2 linked regions of the Struthio camelus genome follow. The protein of the gene in region 1 purifies or fractionates together with the protein of each later gene. This does not show direct contact. Links are inferred from orthologs where the notes say so. Each region holds a gene or a part of one and is shown on either strand. Other genes may lie near its edges.

Region 1 (9,988 bases):
AACAGACCACTTCCAGTATAATCGGCAAAACTATCCGACTACCTACAATTTAAATCGTTTTGATATATAGAATCCTGGCAAGCAGGTATAGACTGTGATATCAAAGTGTCCCCAGCATCATCAGAAACTTTTAGTACATCCGTGAATGTAAGCCATTTTATTGTACAGGTTTTGCAGAAGGGAAGATGCATGTGTAGTGAAAGTGGTACAGACCTCTGACTTCTGCTAAGCAGATCTTTACACGTGAAATAGTTAGATCTGACACTGGAACTAAATGCACAGTGTAGCTCTTTTACAGAGATTGTGGTGAAATGCAGATAGAAAACTTCAGTGTAAAATATCTGCTGTCACTGCTCCTTTTTTGGAGTCTGTCAATGGATTATTGTTTTGGCAGCTAAACCGTGGCCAGTACTTTGTTTCCATGCTAATAACATCACCTTTAATTTGTTCTCTAATGTGTATTTTAATGATATTTTGATGAAATTTTCAGAAAAAGTGAAATTATGTGCACTTCTGGTTATCAGGGGCTGTCAGTTCGAGGAGAAATGACTTCTGTTTATCAGTAGCGGACAGGCAGACTTGAATTCATCTTGAGCAAATATGAAACTTCGTGTGGGTATTAATTACCTCTGTGCCTATACCTTCAGTTTTTGATGACAAACCAGGAATGTTTCTGAAAGAGTAGACAGTAGAAAAATTGATCCCTTCAAGAATCTTTTTTCAGGCATAGAGAACCATTTTTTTCTAAAATCATTGTTTTTCCAGTTGCTGTAGGTAACAAAACAGAGCTTAAGTTCATCATTGTTTTCTAAACAATGTCGTCCTGTAACTTCAGACATTGCTCTTCCCTGGCAATACAGAAAACACCTTGACAAATAAAGTGTTTGGAACAATATGATTTTTTTTTTTTACTTGCTTTACACCTGTTCTTACAAAACTCTTGTGTTGGCTTAAAAATTCAAAGTTTTAAGGTGTTTTCTTCTCAGTTTTATGCACAAACTATGCTCCTTTATTTGACTGATATTTTATGAATGCATGGCTTTGAATAATCATCATTTTTAATTGTTTCTTAAGTCTATCTTTTCAGTCCCTGATTGTTTTTATAACTTTCTTAATCAGCACTGTTGGAGCTGCTGTGTGCATTTGGCCTGACTTCTACTTTCAGCTGAAGGAAGCTAAATTTTATATCCTTCTCTTTCTGCAACTCCCCTAGCTTGATAGTAAATTATTAAGAAAAAATATTTTGAATTAGCAGTAAATATATAATTTATGAGTAATAAGTACTGATTCAGTTAGCGTCAATGAAGGTACTTAATTCTAGACGAGTCAACTGTTGTGTGTCAGATACTGCATTTGTGCAGGAAAGGAATGAAACCAGTTGAACTTTGGTTTTGCTGAACCAGATTACTGCTCCTTAGCAAAGAAGATTTTAGGGTCCTTCTTTCCTTAACAGAAAAGCTGTTGTATAGCAAGATTTTGATAGCATAGGTATTAAGTTTTTACTAGAAAGGTATTAGATACTGGTAACAAAATTTAGGGTATGGTGCTGTACAAAACACTCCCTCTACTTATTTAATGCTTTAAACATGACTGTTTCTTTGAAGTGAAATGATGATTTGACTCCTTTCTGGATACTAAAGAATTTATTTTTAAGTACAAAGTCAACCTGATCTCATTCTTTTGGTTGTCTATGGAGGTAGTTCTGTAGACTGCCTTCCGTGGTACAGTCCAAAAGAGGAAACAGTCCTTCTGAAACTTTAGAGATGGGTTAAATAAGCTGCTAATGTTTGTGAGCAGAACTTCCGTGGCTTCCCTGGTGTTGAATCTGTTCATGCTGGCATAGAACTTGGGCTTTTAGCTTAGAAAATCTGAATAAATTATTCCCCAACCTGATTAACAAGAAAAAAGATTGTGAGGAAAAGCATTTGTTCATATGGAATTGCTTTTGCCTATTCCAGTATTAATTTTATATATATATATATATATATATATATATTTTTTTTTTTTTTTTTTTACTGTGGGAAGGTGCAAAATTTGTATTTCTAAGGCTTGCTTCCCAATACTTAAGTGCTGTTGCATAAATGTAAAAAGGATCTTGTGGACTCGGGATTTGGACTAGATTCTGGCTCTGCAAAAGACTTTTGACTTTAGGCTGAGACATTTAGGCTGATTTTTTTTTAAGAGGGGCTGAAGTAAGGTGTCCAACTGCTTTCAAAGGGAGCTAGGTGTAACCTGTTAGACTCCTGCAAATGCTTGATCTTGTTGTTTGTGCCTCAGTTTCCTGTTTGGGAAATGGGGGTGGGAGGGTGATTCTTCCCTACCTCAAAGTGGGTGAAATACCAGTAAACAGTAGCAGTGGGGGCCATAGGGATTTGCAGAAGTACTATGACTTAATCTGAACTTTTTCTGGTATGTTTACCACTGTAACAGCTGTGTACAACTTGAGCTTTTCCTTAGAAGGTGAATAAAGCTCCACGCACCTTATTCACAGAGCAGAGGCTTGGTTAAATATATATAGATGGCTAATTTTCCAAGGGACGGAGCCTGATCTTGTTGTGACTCCTTTCTGAGAAAGCTGGCACTGCACGCTTAACCGTGGCAGGTCTTTGACTCCGCTTCTTCTGTCAAGAGTACAGCAGCAGGTGAGGGCTTTCTGTTGAAAATGCCTTGCTCCGGTGCAGTTTGGGCTCGTAGCCTCACCGTATCTCCGAAACAAAAGCTGTTGTCCTTAGCGCAGAGCAGAAGGGGACTGACTCAAAATAGGATCTCCCATTTAGGACCCAGAGAGTGAGGCCTGGGCTTCTTCCCCAGAGACTGCCTGACCACATTCGTGCTCTTCTAGTTCAGGTCTGTGGTCAATGGGGATAACTTTGTACAATAGAATACATAATTAAAACAGTTAAGCGAATCAGTTACAATGGGTGGTTTTGCTGAATACCTGAATCTAAGTCCTTAAGCAATATTGCCCACATTCAGGTAAAGGAAGTTTCTGATATTCTTGTAATATATATTTTGATCTTGGACACCTGCAAGATCTTGTTTGGCAAAGTGAAACATTTGTTTTAACATGGTTTGTAAATTAATGACGTATTTAACTATGTACATAGGTCTGTAGAAAGTATGGAAACACTGGAATAAAAAGGGCATATCTAGACAATCGTGTATAATGACCCTGTTATTAAATCAAAGTGAAGGGGTTTGGTTTTTTGTTTTTTTTTTTTTTACTTGCAGGACATTTCGGGAGTGCCATACATTAGTGGTAATGGCCACTTGGGAGAAATCAGATTATTGTTTTGCTGTATGGGTGTGATACATTACCCGATGTTTACTTAAGACTAGAACTAGTGTGATTTGGATGCCATAATTAGTGTTAGGACACTATCACTGGTATCCTTAGAAATGTTTTGATTTCCATTGTGCATTTATAATGTACATGTAAATACATCACAAAACTGGACAATTCTTCCCAAAACAGTCCTGGGTGGTTCTAGAGATACCAGTGTGAAAGAAACCAGTTTCTCCCCACTACGTGTGGGTTTTTTGTCCATAGCTCTTAAGAGTATTTGGTGCTCTTTGAAGATCTCTTGAAAATAGTTCCCCTTCAGACTCAATTGTAGTACCCAATAGTGATTAGAGCCTCTTTTTAATTTGGTAAAAAGCTCATTTTTCTGAAATACCTAAATACTAAATAAAATGGAGGCAATACTTAGGAGTGCGGTGATTTGTAAAGCTGGTGTTGGTGATTTTGGGTCAGCTCATGCTGATACCTGAAACTCAAGACCTTTTCTTTCTAATGTGTTCTAAGCCACATTTTTTCTGATGTAGCATTTTGCAGCAGAAAGAATTTCTGCTGTGTAGCTATCTGTGAAAAAGGTGCAATATAAATAAAGGGAGAGCTTTGTTTTTCTAAGGCTTCCATTTCTGAAACATGTTGTAAAGTGTTAAAAATAATTCTGAAATAACTTTGTGGTGATGGTACGAGCTGGTAAAAGAAATCTGTAAATCCTGAGATCACAGATGTTTTATGTAGGTACTCAAATGTAAAGATGCAGGTGGCAGTCCCCACCTATCCTTTTTTGTTTTGTTTCTATTGGTACTTTATTGGTTGATGTGAATATGGCTGATTTTACCAAAAAACAAAACAAACAAACCCTCCCCCCCCCCCCCTTACTGTAGGAAATCTGGCACTTAAGCAAATGCACGCTCTTGTATGGTTTTCCTGTTCTTATTTCAATTGTGTTCTGTAAAGTTCAGGAGGTTTCCTAGTCTGATTGCCTATGCTGCACCTCTCCAGCCTGTCGATGTTACTCCTGAAGCTGGTGTTCCTGTAAGGGATGACGGGAAGAAATTGCATTGGTGACTTTTGGATAAACTGGGACTCTTTCCTGGCTAAAGTAAAACAGTGTTCAGATGGTTTTGGCAGACTCCTCTGTCTGGTCACTACAGGTTTTGGGGCAGTTTGTGGATAAACTGTTGCTGCGTGCTGAGGAATGTGGAAGTCTGAAGGATGGCTGCACGGGCTCCAACACGCAAAGCACAAATGTTTTTGCTGGGGTAGAGGGCAGCATTACAAATTTTGAAAAAGTTTCTTAGCTTATACTTAAAAGTAAGATTTAACCTGGTCTTCTGGGGTCTGTGTTATTTTCCAGGACTGCAAAGTGATGTAGGATCATACCCAGATTCTGTCTGTCTTTTTTTTTTTTTCCCCACTTGTGTCTGGATACATGCAAACATCCGTTTTCTGAGTTTTTATACTCTGTAGATAATATAGTGGGGTCTTCATGGTATGTCTTGTTGAGAATAAACAGTTCTGCCTTTTTGTGAGGATGTCTTTGGGTGTTATCTGCGTGCCTGGAAATTCTGTGAAGCGTAATTTAACGCTGAAGGCTTCAGAGAGTGATTACAGCTCCAGCTGAGCACTGGATAAAAGTGTTAGGACGCTCAGCTTTGCTTTTGGCCTCTTGTGATTCCCAGAGCATCACCTCCATTTTGAAGTTCAATTTTCCTAATGTATTAAATAACACTCAAATGATTTGGGCCCCGCGTTGCGTTTTTGGTCTCGAGTTGCCATCAAATTGGTCCTTGAGCGTTACTGTTCCCCCCCCACCACCCCCCAAAGTTGCGTAATAAAGTAGAGAGAGCTGAGCGATTCCCTCCTCGCCTCCTACCTCTGGAGCGGGGCGCGAGGCCGAACGAGCGAGCGGGCCCTCTCCGAAGGGACGCTCCCCAGAAGCCGGCCTGCAGGCGAACGTGATGTGCGCTCAGCCCCGCTGCAAGGCTTCCCCCTCGCAGGTTAGAAACGCGGCTGCGGAAGGAAAGCTGAGGTGAGGCCCAGCAGAGCTCGGAACGGTCCTGATTTGACTGCGGAAAGAAATGACGGTGTTAGGTCACTTCGGGGGGGGCGCACCGGGGCCTGCCCCGCAGGCCTCACCGGGCCGGGGCCCTCGGGGTCTGTCCCCCCCCCCCCACCCCGGCCCTGGGGGGGGGGTTGGCGCAGGGGCTCGGCCCGGTGCCCCCAGGAAGGGGAAGGGGGGGGGCAGCGCCGGTGCGGGCCGGGCCGCGCTTGACCCCGCGCAGCGCTCCCCCCCCCGCCACCTCCCGCCGTCTCCATAGCGACGGGGCCGTAAAGCGCGGCCGCGCCCGGCGTCTCGCGGCACTTCCGGCCGGTGGGGCCTAGCGCCGCGGTGGTGGCGGCGGCGGCGGCGGCGGAGCCGCTGCGCCCTCGTCGTTGTCCCGCCGCCATGGAGATGCCGCTGCCGCCCGACGGTGAGCGCGGCCGCGGGGCGGGGAGGGGGGAGCGGGGCGGGCAGCCGGGGCCGGCTCGGGCTGACGGCGCTGCCTCCCCGCAGACCAGGAGCTGCGGAATGTCATCGACAAGCTGGCGCAGTTCGTGGCGCGGAACGGGCCCGAGTTCGAGAAGATGACGATGGAGAAGCAGAAGGAGAACCCCAAGTTCTCCTTCCTCTTCGGCGGCGACTTCTACGGCTACTACAAGTACAAGCTGGCGCTGGAGCAGCAGCAGCGTGAGTGCGGCCCGCGGGCGGGCAAGGCCGCGGCCGGCTGCGGCCTCTCTCCCCCCTCCTCCGGCTGCCGGAGCCCCCTTTCCCCGTCCCGGCCCCGCTCGCAGCCTCTTCCTGCCCTCTCGCCTCCAGGTTGAGCCCCACCTGGGGCTCTTCACGCCCCCCCCGTTTGCGGGTTTCGGGGGAGGAAGGCCGGGCTGCTCCGCAGTCGCGCCCCAGGAGCGGGCCTGGCGTTGGCATCGTCCTTCCCCGACACGTGCAGGGAGCCGCTGACTTTCCTCCTTCCCTCCACACCATCCGCCCTCGCCCGCTTGATTTTTATTTGTGTGTGTTAAACAGAAATTGCGGCTCTGTTCTGGAAGCAGCGCTGTTTTCACGTACAGGCCGGTGGTGGCAGATTTCGCTTTGTTGCTTACTTTGAGAGCTTTCTTTCTCTGACAGTGTTGTGCAAGCAGAGTCAAGATATTGAGGCTACTGCGCAGATCCAACCGCTGCCCCAGCCGTCTCTCCCACCGGCTGCGCCTATGCCAGCCCCTCAGGGAACTCCTTCAGTGGAGGAACTTATCCAGCAGAGTCAGTGGAACCTCCAGCAGCAGGAGCAGCATCTCCTCGCTATGAGACAGGTCGGTTTAGGATGAACAGTCACTTGGATTATTGTAGGCTACCAGTGGCTGTGAAGGGGGTAGGAAGGCTTCCTTCTGACTAAAGGTGGTGACGTTGTATGTTGGTGAGAAGAAGGAGGGAGCGTTGCTTTGCTTGTCCTTGTTCTGTGACAATTGCTGTAATCTCCTTAGAACAGATGCATCTGATGTGTTTGTAAGTTTGATCCTTGTTAAAACAGTTTATTAACTGCATGAAAACCCTACCTGGCTTGCACAGAGTGCAATAAATTGTGACTGCTCTAATCTTTATTTGATGTTACAACTTGCTAGGAATTGTGAGACGTTCCAGCTTGTAGCGCTCTAAGGTGAATTCTTTTGGGAGTGGGATGGCACTGTGTACTTGAATTGGCTCTTTTACAGAATGCGTTTTGCTTTTAGAGCTTCCGAATTGAAGAGTTCCTGGAGAAAGGGGAGTACGTGTGGCATGTGCTATGCGCTTAGCAGCTGTCTGCAGTTATCACTTGCTTCATGATGGAGGGATTTAGGAGGTGGAAATGAACAGTATTTCTCCTGAAGAGTGAGAAGAGTCTTTCTCTTCTCCCTTCTCAAAAATAACTAATTGAAACAAATTTATACATGGTCACATTGCGTGTAAGGAGTCTTGGTCTTCAAGATAACTGCTTATGGTTAAGAGCACAGGCACACATCAGGTTGGTGGTTCTTCAGAAGAATATTGAATGTGATGTAATTCCCTCTTTTTCAGGAACAAGTTACATCAGCAGTAGCCCTTGCAATTGAGCAACAAATGCAGAAAGTTTTAGAGGAAACACAGTTAGATATGAATGAATTTGACAACTTGTTGCAGCCAATAATTGACACGTGTACAAAAGATGCAATCTCAGTAAGTAAACATCCTTGCGTATCTTAGAAGTTCTGCTCCTGTCTTTGCAAGTGAAACACTTCTTTGACTTGCTGTAAACGCAACACCAAGAAGGACGTATAGGCCTTACCTGTACAAAAGGCAACGGGAAGGCTTTCATTCCAGTCACAATTGTTTTTTCTTCCATTGGCTGTTGATGACTCCACGCATTGACTACTTTGCTTGTGTTCAGCTGCTCAGGCCATGAAGTCAGTTCCGTATATTGGAGAAGAGGTTCTTCCCAGGAAACTGAGGGAGTAGAGGGGGTCAGCTTTCCCTAACGAAAAAGAAGAGATCGGTCCCTAACTTGAAATGTGTTGGGGTAGCGATTTTAATGCTGCCTTGGGGTTTAGGATAACGTCGTTTAAAGCATCTACTGATTATAAAGAAATAGGACAGAAATTACCCCCCAGATAGGCAAGGTAAATTAAGCCTGATCGTGGAGCGAGTGAGTTAAATGATCTAAATCTGAACTGTTACTTAATGGTGGTGTAGATTAAGTACAACTTGCATTTTGAAACTGCATGGTTAAAAATAGCAACTTTATTGTTTCACTGTATGGTACGTGAGATGACAGCTGTTATTGAAAATTTTCCTTCTTGGAGTTATTTCAGTTTTAGGAAGTCCATATGATGTGAACGCATCAGACTAACTTAAAATATTCTAAAATTCATTTTCTAAGGCTGGCAAAAACTGGATGTTTAGTAATGCGAAGTCTCCTGCACACTGTGAGCTGATGGCTGGGCACCTGCGAAATCGTATAACAGCAGAAGGAGCTCACTTTGAGCTTCGGTTACATTTAATCTACTTAATCAATGATGTATTGCATCACTGGTAAGAACTAAAACGATGTTTTCCAGTTTGCTGTTTGGATTAACTTGGTGAAGTCTCTCTCTGCTAGACACATTCTTAGTTCAACTAGTCACTTTTTATTTTGTTAAAATACACATGTTCGTTAGCAGCTGCCTTAAGGTGTGTGCAATTGGTGCAAAGAAATAGCCAGTACTTTAATAATCATATTCAGCCTTTATCTACTTTGTGTATACTTATTCCAGATAAGGCTGTACAGTACAAATGTAGAGAAGAGAATTCTCTCTGTATCTGTATGAATCCTCTACTTTTAGTACAGCACAAGTTAGGAGGAATTGAATGTTACAGTGCTGTTAATGTTATATTAAAAGGCAGTAACTCTTATCCTTCCTTTTTTGAAGCCAGCGGAAGCAAGCACGAGATCTTCTGGCTGCTTTACAGAAGGTGGTTGTGCCTATATATTGTACCAGCTTTCTAGCAGTGGAGGAGGATAAACAGCAGAAAATTGCCAGAGTGAGTAGCTGGTTTTGGTTTAGCTGTATGTTTTGCTTTCTTAGGTTAGTGCTAGGCAAATTCACAAATCCAAGGACAGAAGAGGACTGCTGAGATTTTTCTAGTATGCTCTTCTTCATAAAGCCTGTCAAAGGATGTACTTTAATTTATGTTTGAGCTAGAACTTTAAACCAAAAAAAAGTACTTGAGCTTTATTTAAAAGTTATCATCATGATGAATAGTTCTGAGTCTTTGGTGATTCCAAAGACAAGTGACTAAATCCTAGGCCTTTTGACAAAGCTAGAGGCATAAAAATGCTGTGCCTTGATTTTTTTTCTTTTCTTTCTTTTATCGTTCATCATTTCTAACAACCTTTTGCTCTTGCATTTATGCAGCTTCTTCAGCTGTGGGAAAAAAATGGGTACTTTGATGAATCAATAATTCAGCAGCTACAGAGCCCAGCTCTTGGACTTGGCCAGTACCAGGTTAGCCACAAAAGAAAAGTAATGCTTTCCTTATTCATATAAATATTTGAGAACAAATTTTTTCTTTTTTGAAGTGTAAATGTTATTTTTTTTCCCCTGTTGAAATCCTTTGCAAAGGTTTACAAAAATAAAGTAAAACATAACCTTGTCATTTCAAATGTTGAATAATCTGGCTGCTGATACAATCCCAGAAAGTTCCCTGTGTGCATTGTGGTAGTCACAAATGCAAATCTGTATTTTACAGCTTGTTTTCCTTTTTAATGGAAAGGAATAGTTGGTAAAAGAGAAACTAAAGAAAACTATAACTTAACATTGGTATGTACTAAGCATACAAATTATTGTGGCAGCAGAAGCTATTCATTTTTAGCATTAATAATGAATACTGTTGATTTTAGCAGTTCTTGAAAGCTAGCCGTTAATACAGACGGCAGATTTTAACCTGCAGAGAACGTTTTGTAAATCTTCACATAGATTCATTATGTAAGTAGGTTCTTCTGCCAACAGATTATCCTGCATTTTCATATATTTCTTGGGAGGGGGTGGAGACTCACATAGGAGATTCTGAGTGAGCAGCTAGGACAGCTGCTTCAACTACTGCATTAACTTTCTGAAAACATTCTTAATTTATCTAATTTTCTCAGGCAAATTTGATCACTGAAT
Region 2 (9,828 bases), on another chromosome or scaffold:
CTTCAAACTTGGAGTCATATAAACCTAATAGTGAAGGAGTACTTTCCATTATTTCATCTTTAAAAAAGAGTGGAAGCTCTTTAGATTTCTGAAAAAGCAATAGTTCAGCCAAAGTTTTGACTCTGAGAGAAGAGAACACTAAAAGAAAGAAGGTAACACTAGAGAGAAAAACCTTTCACTGCAAGCAGGCACAGAAATGGTTGGGATGGAACGCAAGTTAGCCTGTAATGTTAATTTTTTTTTCATCGTCTTCCAAATGCTCCAGCATTGTCTACCTTAGCTTCCAAAATCTTTCCCAAGGCTTTTCATTTTAAAATCGATGATCAATGCAATGGAGCTTTAACTCTTTTTTTTTTTTCTCGTTCTTCATTTTCATAAAAGCAAACACAAAACTCCTGGAATCCCTCCAATTTGATCAGTGCACCAGACAGTGGGATTTGAAGCTTGTAAGAAACCTGCATCTTTGGCACAAAATTCTCTTTATGGCTAACACAGGGGGAATCTGAATAACTTTCTACACAAAACCTTTCTCTGGCTGAGCAGCAGAACCATTTTTTTCCTGCAGTTACGGCAGACGTCCCATCTGTACTGAGTCTAGTCAAGCGTCACATTTTCTCTTAGATTTTCAACATGTTTTCTCAGTTCTTCAAACAAGCTTGAGACACTGATGGTAGAACAAAATGGTCACTTCCTCATTTATATTATTTTTCCCTGTCATTGCCCAAATCAAAATACTCCACTGTGCAGTGTCAGTAGCAATAAAGCTTTCATTACTTGTGACTAAAAAGTATTTAAATATGGGTCTCGGAAACTTTAATCTGTGCCAAAATATTACTGGATGTTGTCTCAGTCATTCTCATTGTGGAACTGAGCCAAAATGTGAAACTAGGTAAAAAATGTGAAGTAGGTAAAAACTAGGTAAAAAAGCCACGCTCCTCTGGGTTTTTGGGTCACTCTATATATGGCAAAAATAGACGGCTTTCTTCATTGCGTTTGCAGCTGTTCTCTCTGCAGAAGTAAGGATATTCCAAATGCCTTTCTAACTGTTTTCAGCTCTTTATGATGGTTATTCATTGGTGAGTTTTACAAAAGAAGAATTACAGCACAGTTCCTTTCTGATTTATTTTAGAGTTATCAGAGTATTTTAGAGATCATGAAGCAGATCTGAAGGCATACTGGGTTAGGGTGGTACCTTTCAGCAAAACCATGGCATCACACATTGTGTTTGGTTTAGGATCCAACATGTTGGTTTAGGATCCAACAAACTCGAGCCGATCTTCCCAAGCCAGGATGAATGAATGAGCTTTCCCTCTGGCAGCGTCATTTTCATATTTCATTTTGCCACGCGGGCCATACTGAAGGTCACTGTGAAGCTGGCAGTGATAATCAAGTGGGTATTTTCTGAAAAAGAAAAAAAGTTCATAAAGTTTTGAAGGTGCTGCCAGGACCATTAACAAAAAGCAGGTGTGCAGTGGGGTGGGTCTGCTCTCTGCTTAGGACCCGCACCGTTAGCTGGAAATCATCCCTCCATCCCACGTGATTTAAGCATCTTTATTCTAACCTGACTGACGTTCCTCTGACCAAGCTCAGCTTTCTTTCGCGTGTGCCCCGCTGCGATTCGCATCTCGCCCCCACCTCTGTGGGTGGGAACCACTCTGCTCTTCTGTTCCCCGGGGGCCTTGTGGATGGTTTTGGGGGGTTTACTGCAGCCATCCCTTGCCACCTCAAAGGTCTCCCCGTAGACTGAGATGCACTGCCCTCTAATGCCATTTTGGCATATTAGCAACCCGGCTTTAAGCATGCAAGCCTCATCCTCAGAAGGTCTATCTGTAAAATACAGTGCAAATAATCTAAGTCTGGTAAAAATGGCTTAAGCTTAAGGGAATTTGTAAGAAACATGGAATTTATGGACTGCTTTTTTTTTTTTCTCTAGTAACTCTGCCCTGCTTCCAGCAATCAGTGGGTTAGTGGGATTTTTGAGACACAGACTGTACTTTGACCACTGTGTTTACCAGCCCGAATGGCCCTGTTCCTTAGGACCGTCTCCTATCTTTTTTTGGATCCCTTTATCCTCCAGAGTGCCCCCTGGCACCGAGATCCACAGTTTACACCTCTGTTTGTTTTGTACCTTCTTGGAGATCACGTCTAGGGAGAAAAATGAGAACTCCCTTTTTACCGTTTCTGTACCACTTGTGATGTTGGATGCTCCCATAGCACCTTTCAGCTGTCTCTTTTCAGCTGATACATCTTAATTCCTTCAGTTTAGAATGACATCTCTGTCGTCCTTCATTGTACATTTTTGCATTGCATTGCATCTACTTGGAAGTGATGAGGTACCCAGGAGGCACCTTTGCATGTGCATTGTGGATTTATATCAAGTATGTTTTCTGTTTTTCTCTCTCTCTCTCTCTCTCTCTCTCTCTCTTCTTTTAATACTTCTTAGCAGCCTGTTTGCTTTCTTGCCTCCTTCAGAGCACTGAGTTGGCCTTTCTAGAAAACCATCCACAGTGAATCCAGCATCTCTTCCCTTAATGGTAACAGCTGATTGAGAGCCTGCTGCTGTGTGTGTATTGCTAGTGTTATTTTCTCTTGCGTGCACTGCTTTGCATTCATTAACATTGGGTCCCATCTGCCATCTCATCACCCAGCCAGCATTATGCCATCCTTCTGCAACTTCTTGCATTCAGCTTTTGGCTGATTACTCCGAATAATTTTGAATCCACGGCAAATATAACCACCTTTGCTGAGACCTTTTCCAGGCTGCTTATCATTATGCTGCGGGGGCCTAACCCAGGCCCCTGGCACTCTGCCACTCACTGCCCACAACGGGGAAAACACAGAATTTGTTCGTAGCCTTTTGGTCCTGTCTGCAATCTGCTGCAATCTGCTGTCCATAACCCTTCCATACCCTTTTCTTTCCTCTGCCAGGAGTTCAGCATCCTGGACCCAGCTCTGGTATGGCCCAACCGCATGACCTCGTTTCAGACTGCTGAGAAAATTGCCATATTGTGAGAAAGAGCTGTGTGAAAAGGCGTAGAGTGGAACCAGGCGAGATAAGAAGGGCAGGTGGGACTGCTGAGGTGGAGATCATTAGCGGGATTCAAGAGAAAAAACATGAACATGGAAAGGTTTAAAATCCTGAAGGAAAAAACAGGTAGCTGGAAGGGGGCAACTCAGCCCTGTCGAGGGTCTGTTGGAGGCAGCAGAGGGCTGATGCTGCCCCAGCTGGCTCTGACTCGCCAGCAAAGGCTCTTCAGGTATCTCACTGAAGCCATGAACACGCTAATGCTTGGCCCACTACCTCATTAAATCCTGTCCATCTATTGTGTGTGTCAATCAGCAAAGATGTGCATTGTACTCTTTCAGCTGTGTATGTCTGGCTTGCATAGCCCGTTCATGCACGGTGAAAGTTGCCCAAGATGACCCAGCGATGGTTCCCCTGTAGCAGGCACTTCAAATAATTTCACAACAGTGGGGATGGCACAAACCAGGTCACATCTGCTCCTCAGGCACCACCGGGAGCAGCCCTGAATCCTTGATACTCTTCCCAGCCTTCACCCCCAGAGACCTTTCCACAGGCTGTGGGGTATGGATCCCCTCTTCATCAGAAAGGACCTCATGGGCTTGCCATTCTCTGGGCTTTGGGACACTTACAACTAGAGGGAGAGCCCATCTGGAGCTCTTCTCCACGCCACCCTCCTGGCACATAGTCTGCCAAGGAAATACTCTGCCATGGAGTTAATTTAGCCTAAACAGCTTATAGAAAGTTGCAGGGTTTGACCTCAGGGTGCAGATGTCTCAGAAAAGTGGCCGGGAGCTGCAGCACAGTGTCCCCACTGGCATACATCAGGATGTCCTTCACCCTCTCTGCCTTTGCAGATAAAGCTGAAAAAGAGGCGTCTGTCCAAGCTATCATCCACCTCCCCAATATGAAGGACTGGGGATGACCCTGGCAAGGGTGTCCTCCATTCCCAGACTGTCCAGGGACTTCAGACTTTGCAGCGTGGTGCGACTTCTCCACCTGCTCGCAGCTGGTTCATACTTTCTCCGGAGGACGCGTGTGGCCCAGCAGCAATCCTCAGCAGAGAGACGCAGCCTTTCGTGCAAGATGTAGGCACGGCACGATGGCGCGCGACATCAAATGTGCTGTCTGCAGGGGCTCAGTTTGTGCAAGGGCCCTTCTTTTGGATGGTTTCGCCAACGCAGACTTGAGATCACGCCTTCGAACGGTCTCCATGCCGTCAGCCAGAATTCTGCCAAAATTAATGCAATGGATGTTGTTGGCCTCTTTGCTCTTTTAAGTGTCTTATAGCAGTCTATGGTGGTTATTGCCACAGATGATGACAGACACATTTTGAACCACGCCTAATGCACTTTCCAGGACTTAATCAAGAGCTGCTTCCCCACTCGCGAATTATCTGACTAATTGCTTTAATAGGTAGCTATTTACGGGTCTAATAATTTAGCCTTTGCCCTTCCTGTTGTGCATTTTCCCAGTCTTCCCAGGAGTAACTGAAATCTCTGATGATTATCATGTTTTCTGCCTTTGCAGACTCTGATCTCTTGAGTTTTTCCCAGTGACTATCATGCTGTGATACTGCTCTGTGCTGTTAGGTGCTGAATTTCAAACCACAGTGATTTTTGCAGTACATTTTAATGCAATTAACTATTTGATTCCTTTCTTTAACACCAGTCCTTGCTCAATGTGATTCTGTCACTATGAAATTGGTATTCAAGTATCCTGCTGATTTTCTTTCTTGCACAAAGTTAGAGAAATGTGTATCATATCAATCTCTTCCTTTAAAAATGCAGGCATTTCTAGAGCAAGGAACAAAAGCCTGCTTGGATGATCCTCCCTGAATAAAGCGAAGAAAAATTCTTCTTACATTTAAGAAGTTTTCACTATTATTATTAAAATAGATTCATCTGGAAACACACTGCCTACAAAGATCCCCTTAGCAGACACCAGCTTAAGTAGGATGGGAAGAGCCGAGAACAGGCCAGAACTTAAAATAAACTACCACTTTTTTAAGTAGTAGCTTTGCTCACTGGTACCTCTTTTTTTTTTTTTTTTTAATTTTAAGCATGGGGAATTAATTGCATAGTAGCAAAGTCAAAAGTAATGCTGGAGATAAGGACTTTTTGATCAACAAAGAGATAAGGCTGTAGTTTTGAGGTTGAAGTGACAACGCTATCTGCTTTGGGGTTGGAGGTTTTGCTGTGTTTTGCAGAGAGGGTTGAATGTTTATTTCCACAGCGTTTATCACGTGGTGCAAGTGGCCATAATTCTTAGAAATCTCAACGCGTCTGAATTCACTCTCTGCCGGCTTTAAGTCAGGGACACAGCTGCCCATTAACAACAAAAACGAGATCTTGCCACTGTCACAGAGAGCAATAATTACCGAATTACCTCGAAATGAGCTCTCTGGAGAGGCGGAGAAATCACCGTAGCTGAATAAACTCCCGGCGAGGACAGATAACGCCATTTCAGGGACTGTTTTGGAAAGCAGAAATGATTTCTGCAGCGAGACGATCAGCGGAATCAACCGATCCAGCCCACTTCAGGCCCAAACGATGCTCTCATACTACAGGTACTTTCAACGGCCAAATACCCTGCAGTAACACCACCACCCAGCCACCTCGGCGTTAGCGGGAGCCGCGGCAGAGCCAGGCGCTAACCAGCGTGCCTGAGCGATACATGATTCGGGGGCGTCTGAAATACGCTTGAAGCAAAACGAGCGTCAGCTTTCTCTCCTCCTAGCTGCTTCACAACTGTGCCGTCAAACTCGGAAGAGTCTCATATTATTCTTTTTTTTGTTGTTTTTTTGTTTTGTTTTGTTTTGTTTTTGGTTTTGGCGGGAATGAAGATGAGGTCGAGGCGCCGAAGGCCCAAGGAGACACGCCGGCAGGCGCGTTACCTCGTCCGCCGGGCTGACGTAGACTTCTCAAGGCGCCAAAAACACAGTATAGCGAAACGCGGCATGAAGGCAAAACGCAGGGCGATGGCCGGGACGCCGATACCGTCCTGCCCCCTTGCTGATGGAACTGCTAAATCCGCCCCAAACCCCAACGTAGCCCCACCAGAAGGTTATCTCGCTTCTCCCCCCCCCCCCCCGCCGTATTTTTCGGGCAACTTCCTTGAGCGATCGCTCGTTTTTTCCCCAATGACGACGTGGCGAACGCAGGCCCAGCTCGGGATTTTAAGGTCTCTTTTAAGGTCCACTGGGATTTTAAGGTCTTTTTTTTGTTTGTTTTTAACGTGGGCTACACGGCCCACCCGCCAGCGCCCAAACCGCCCCCGCCAACACGAAGTTTAACGTCGTTTGTAGGTCTCTCTCTTATTTCCGTGCGCTTTATTTAAATAAGGGTGATCGCACAGGCTGTTGCAGAGCCGCCCGTCGCCTGCCACCTCCGCACGGGGCGTCACAGGACCCGAAAAATGAGGGGCGAGGGGGGGGAGGAAGTGGGAGGGGAGGGCCCCCCCCGCCCCTTCCCAGTGCCGAACTGGCGCGGACTGGGCCGCGCCCGGCCGCGGAGGGCGGCGGGGAAAGGGGCGGTGCCGCGCCGCGCCCGCCAGAGGGCGGTACAACGGCGGCGCCCGCGCCGCGCGCCCATTGGCCGAGCCGCGCGCTTGCGCCGTCGCGGCGGGGAGGCAGGCGCGGGCGGCGTGTGCGCAGGCGCGGAAGGGGGTGGGGGCGCTGGCTGGTGGAGGGCGGCCCTTCCCGGCTGCCTCAGCGGCCGGCTAATGGCGGCGGCGGCGGCGCGGTGACGGGTGAGCGGCGGGCGGGCGGCGGCGGCGGCGGCTCCCGCAGACCGGCGACTAAGCCGAGCCGAGCGGGCGGCTCTGCGCCTCAACGCGGCGGTGGTGGGCGGGGAACGGGGATGGGGCCGGGCCCCTAACGCCTCCGCCCCGCCCCGCAGCGCCCGGCCTCGGCCCGCGGCGGGGGCCGCCGCCGCCGCCTCCCGGCCCCGCCGCCCGCGGTGTCCCCCGAGGCGCGGAGCCGCTGCCCCTGGGGGCCGCGGCGGTTGGAGGGGCTAAAATCGCCTTTCGCTGCCCAAACTTCGTCTGCCGTGGCGCACGCGGGTTCGTGTGGTGCCCCCTCCCCGTCGCCTTCCCCTGTGCTTTGCGATATCCCTCCCTGTCCCCCCCCCCACGCCCATTTAGGTAATAATCCCCACCGAAACCCACCTCTCCCCCCCCATATTCATGCAGTAAACTAGCGTCGGTTGTTTATGTTCCTCTGCAGGCTGAAATCACCTATTCTTTATTATTTTTACTTATTTTACCTTAGAAGTAATATATAGGTGTTTATATTTGCTGTATTATTTCCTACAGCCCCATGTCTGGAGATCGTAATGCAGTTGCTGCCTGCTCCATCTGAGATTTGCTTAAATCCTTAAAACTCTACATAAGCAGACAGCTCCTCTGTGTCAGCAGGTGCCTTCAAATACAGGCACCCGTCAAATCTGTGGGAGCGCGGGCTCCGTAGCGAGTCTTGTATGTCTGTACAGTTTCACTGCAGACAGTTTATCGGTAGTCCTTGACTCCGTTACGGATGTTTTCTCCTGCAGGAAATTAAGAAGTTAAAGCGGTGGTCACAGATACTGTAATCCAGGCCTAACTGAGGCTAAATAATGTGCTTGCAGGTTATTCTACAGGCTGCTGCAGGTGATAGACCTCTCATTCGTGCACGCTTTTTCTCCTTACTTTCGTGTCAGATGATGTATCACGTGGACAGTGATGTATGTTATCTGTTATTGATGTTGTTACCTAGCCAATTTTATATGTGTGTGTTTACGTATTCCGTTTATTTGAGAGGGCTTTAAGTGTGTGAAAACATTTGCTTAATCATGCTCTGGCAGGCTGTGCTCCAGCAAGTGTAATTACTCTAAGAAAGATATTTCTTTTCAGCCCAATGATGTTGCAAAAAATCCTGAAGTTTAAGCAGCTGATTGGAATGTTGATATATTTGTGCAGACTTTAAGGTCAGGGAGACAAAACTTCTTACATGCTCTGATTTGGAGCTCTTGAGGTTTATGTCATACTTCAGAATTTCTTTGTGACCCTCGAAATATTTTTGTGGACCACAGTGTAACTTTTTAAAAGCTTGAAGTGATGATGTTACAACCACAGTTTTACAAACCTAATGTTACAAAAATAATTTTAGGAAGTTTCCAAAACCCATTGACACTTGAACAGTATTCATGGAAGCGTTTTATTACCTTTTAAATAATTGTTTATATACAGCCTCAGAGCAGTCATGCATATCTGCCGTTAACCAGAAAAATGTCACTGCTGGGATTTCTCTCCGACTTTAATAAATAAATAAATTAATTAATTAAAAATATGATGCACAAACATAACCGAGCTAGTAGCAAATAAGCACTGGACATATGACTTATTATAGGTTTTTTTTTTTTTGTCCTCTAGTTCTAAATTGAGGAGAAAATGTCACTTTACGATGACTTGGGAGTTGAGACCAGCGATTCCAAAACAGAAGGCTGGTCCAAAAATTTCAAACTACTGCAGTCTCAACTGCAGGTGAAGAAAGCAGCTCTTACACAAGCAAAGGTATGATCTTTAGTAATTTTACTTTCTGTTGTTGATAGTACTTCTGTGTTAGGAACACTGAGGAAAGTTTGTGACTTTGGAATGCAGATTTGGGATCCTTTTGTTATGATCTGTCTGTAAGTTTGTAGGGTGGAGCCTACGGAAAAGGCATTGGGCATGGGGACCAAGATTCAGAAATCTGTTATAGGAGGTCTTGTAAAGTTAAAAATCAAATGAAGACTTGACATGTGCCCTGTCGGCCTAAAACTTTTTTAATAATAGAGCTAAAAGCTGATCTTTGTATTTAACCTCAAAGATAATGAGATTAAGCATTTCCTTCTTTTTTTTTTTTTTTTTTAAAGTAGGTAACAGTCATGCTGCCCTTGATAGTTTGGCAGTATCAGCTGTTGGTCATTCCTGGCATTTTGCATCAGTTGTCACTTACATGTTTGCATCGTTTTATGCTTCCTATTTAAAAAGGCTTTAGGTGCTGAAGTGCACATCCTTGTATGTTAGAAATTTGCATGGAAAGTATTGCCAGTATACCTGAAAAGGAAAAGATGTGAAAGCTAATTGTTAGAGCCTAAACTGTGACAGTGCCATTTTCTCTTTGTTTTATTGCTACGGTATTTCACCCTGTTTCCTTAAGCGCTGTAGATGTTTTAAGTTCAAGCAGGACATGTGTTGTTTGCAGTCTGTGTGTTTTACAATGAGAATATTTGATTAAAAATAGAAGAATAACTGCAATTAATTATGTAGGATACTTTACCAGGCATAACATTTTATCACGGGAATTATTCCTGGTTTATACTGCTGAAATTGAGCACAGAATTTGGAACACTTGTATGAATGAAATCTGAAGTGGCGTATATATTGTATATGTTCTTTCCGTATGTATCTGATATGCTGTATGTGTACAGGCTATAATAGAAAAATAGAATAAGACTGGAAAATTCAAAGTTCAAAACTGGATTAATACATTTTATCAGATGATAAAATATGAAGAACAATAGAATTTGTCTTTAGGAAAAGTCTAAACCCCTACTGGATCAAAAAAAAAATCTTAAATTCAAACTCTATCTGAAGATATCATCTGAATTTTTAATACCCGTCTTTGGCCTTAGTTCCAAACCTTTCACCTATCACTCTTTGTTCTAGTGCATGCATAAGAAAGTCTGATATTGCTGTCTTAAAAGCAGGAGAATTTACACTGTTTTCACTGAGGCTTGCTTTGAATTATTGCATCAGATCTTTATTTTTTGTAGCAGTTCTTTAAC

The links. Proteins that work in one complex are often made in the same cells at the same time.
Region 2: the proteins of CHERP (region 1) and RBM17 purify together in Homo sapiens (co-immunoprecipitation; 4 studies listed by BioGRID and IntAct, counting the BioPlex papers as one, with this or other methods). This does not show direct contact. The link is inferred for Struthio camelus from reciprocal best matches to the Homo sapiens genes CHERP and RBM17.

Annotation. Positions count from the first base shown.
Region 1 is NC_090967.1:5,297,040-5,307,027, reverse strand, and holds the start of CHERP (calcium homeostasis endoplasmic reticulum protein), read left to right. Parts: upstream 1-5,640; 5' UTR 5,641-5,741; coding exon 5,742-5,766; intron 5,767-5,849; coding exon 5,850-6,023; intron 6,024-6,461; coding exon 6,462-6,643; intron 6,644-7,385; coding exon 7,386-7,523; intron 7,524-8,223; coding exon 8,224-8,375; intron 8,376-8,752; coding exon 8,753-8,864; intron 8,865-9,238; coding exon 9,239-9,328; intron 9,329-9,969; coding exon 9,970-9,988. Other genes in the region: SLC35E1 (solute carrier family 35 member E1), read left to right, coding at 1-70. UniProt on the Homo sapiens protein: Involved in calcium homeostasis, growth and proliferation.
Region 2 is NC_090942.1:4,585,078-4,594,905, forward strand, and holds the start of RBM17 (splicing factor 45), read left to right. Parts: upstream 1-5,459; 5' UTR 5,460-5,591; intron 5,592-6,633; exon of another isoform or gene 6,634-6,772; intron 6,773-6,947; exon of another isoform or gene 6,948-7,084; intron 7,085-7,572; exon of another isoform or gene 7,573-7,743; intron 7,744-8,431; 5' UTR 8,432-8,449; coding exon 8,450-8,572; intron 8,573-9,828. UniProt on the Homo sapiens protein: Splice factor that binds to the single-stranded 3'AG at the exon/intron border and promotes its utilization in the second catalytic step. Involved in the regulation of alternative splicing and the utilization of cryptic splice sites.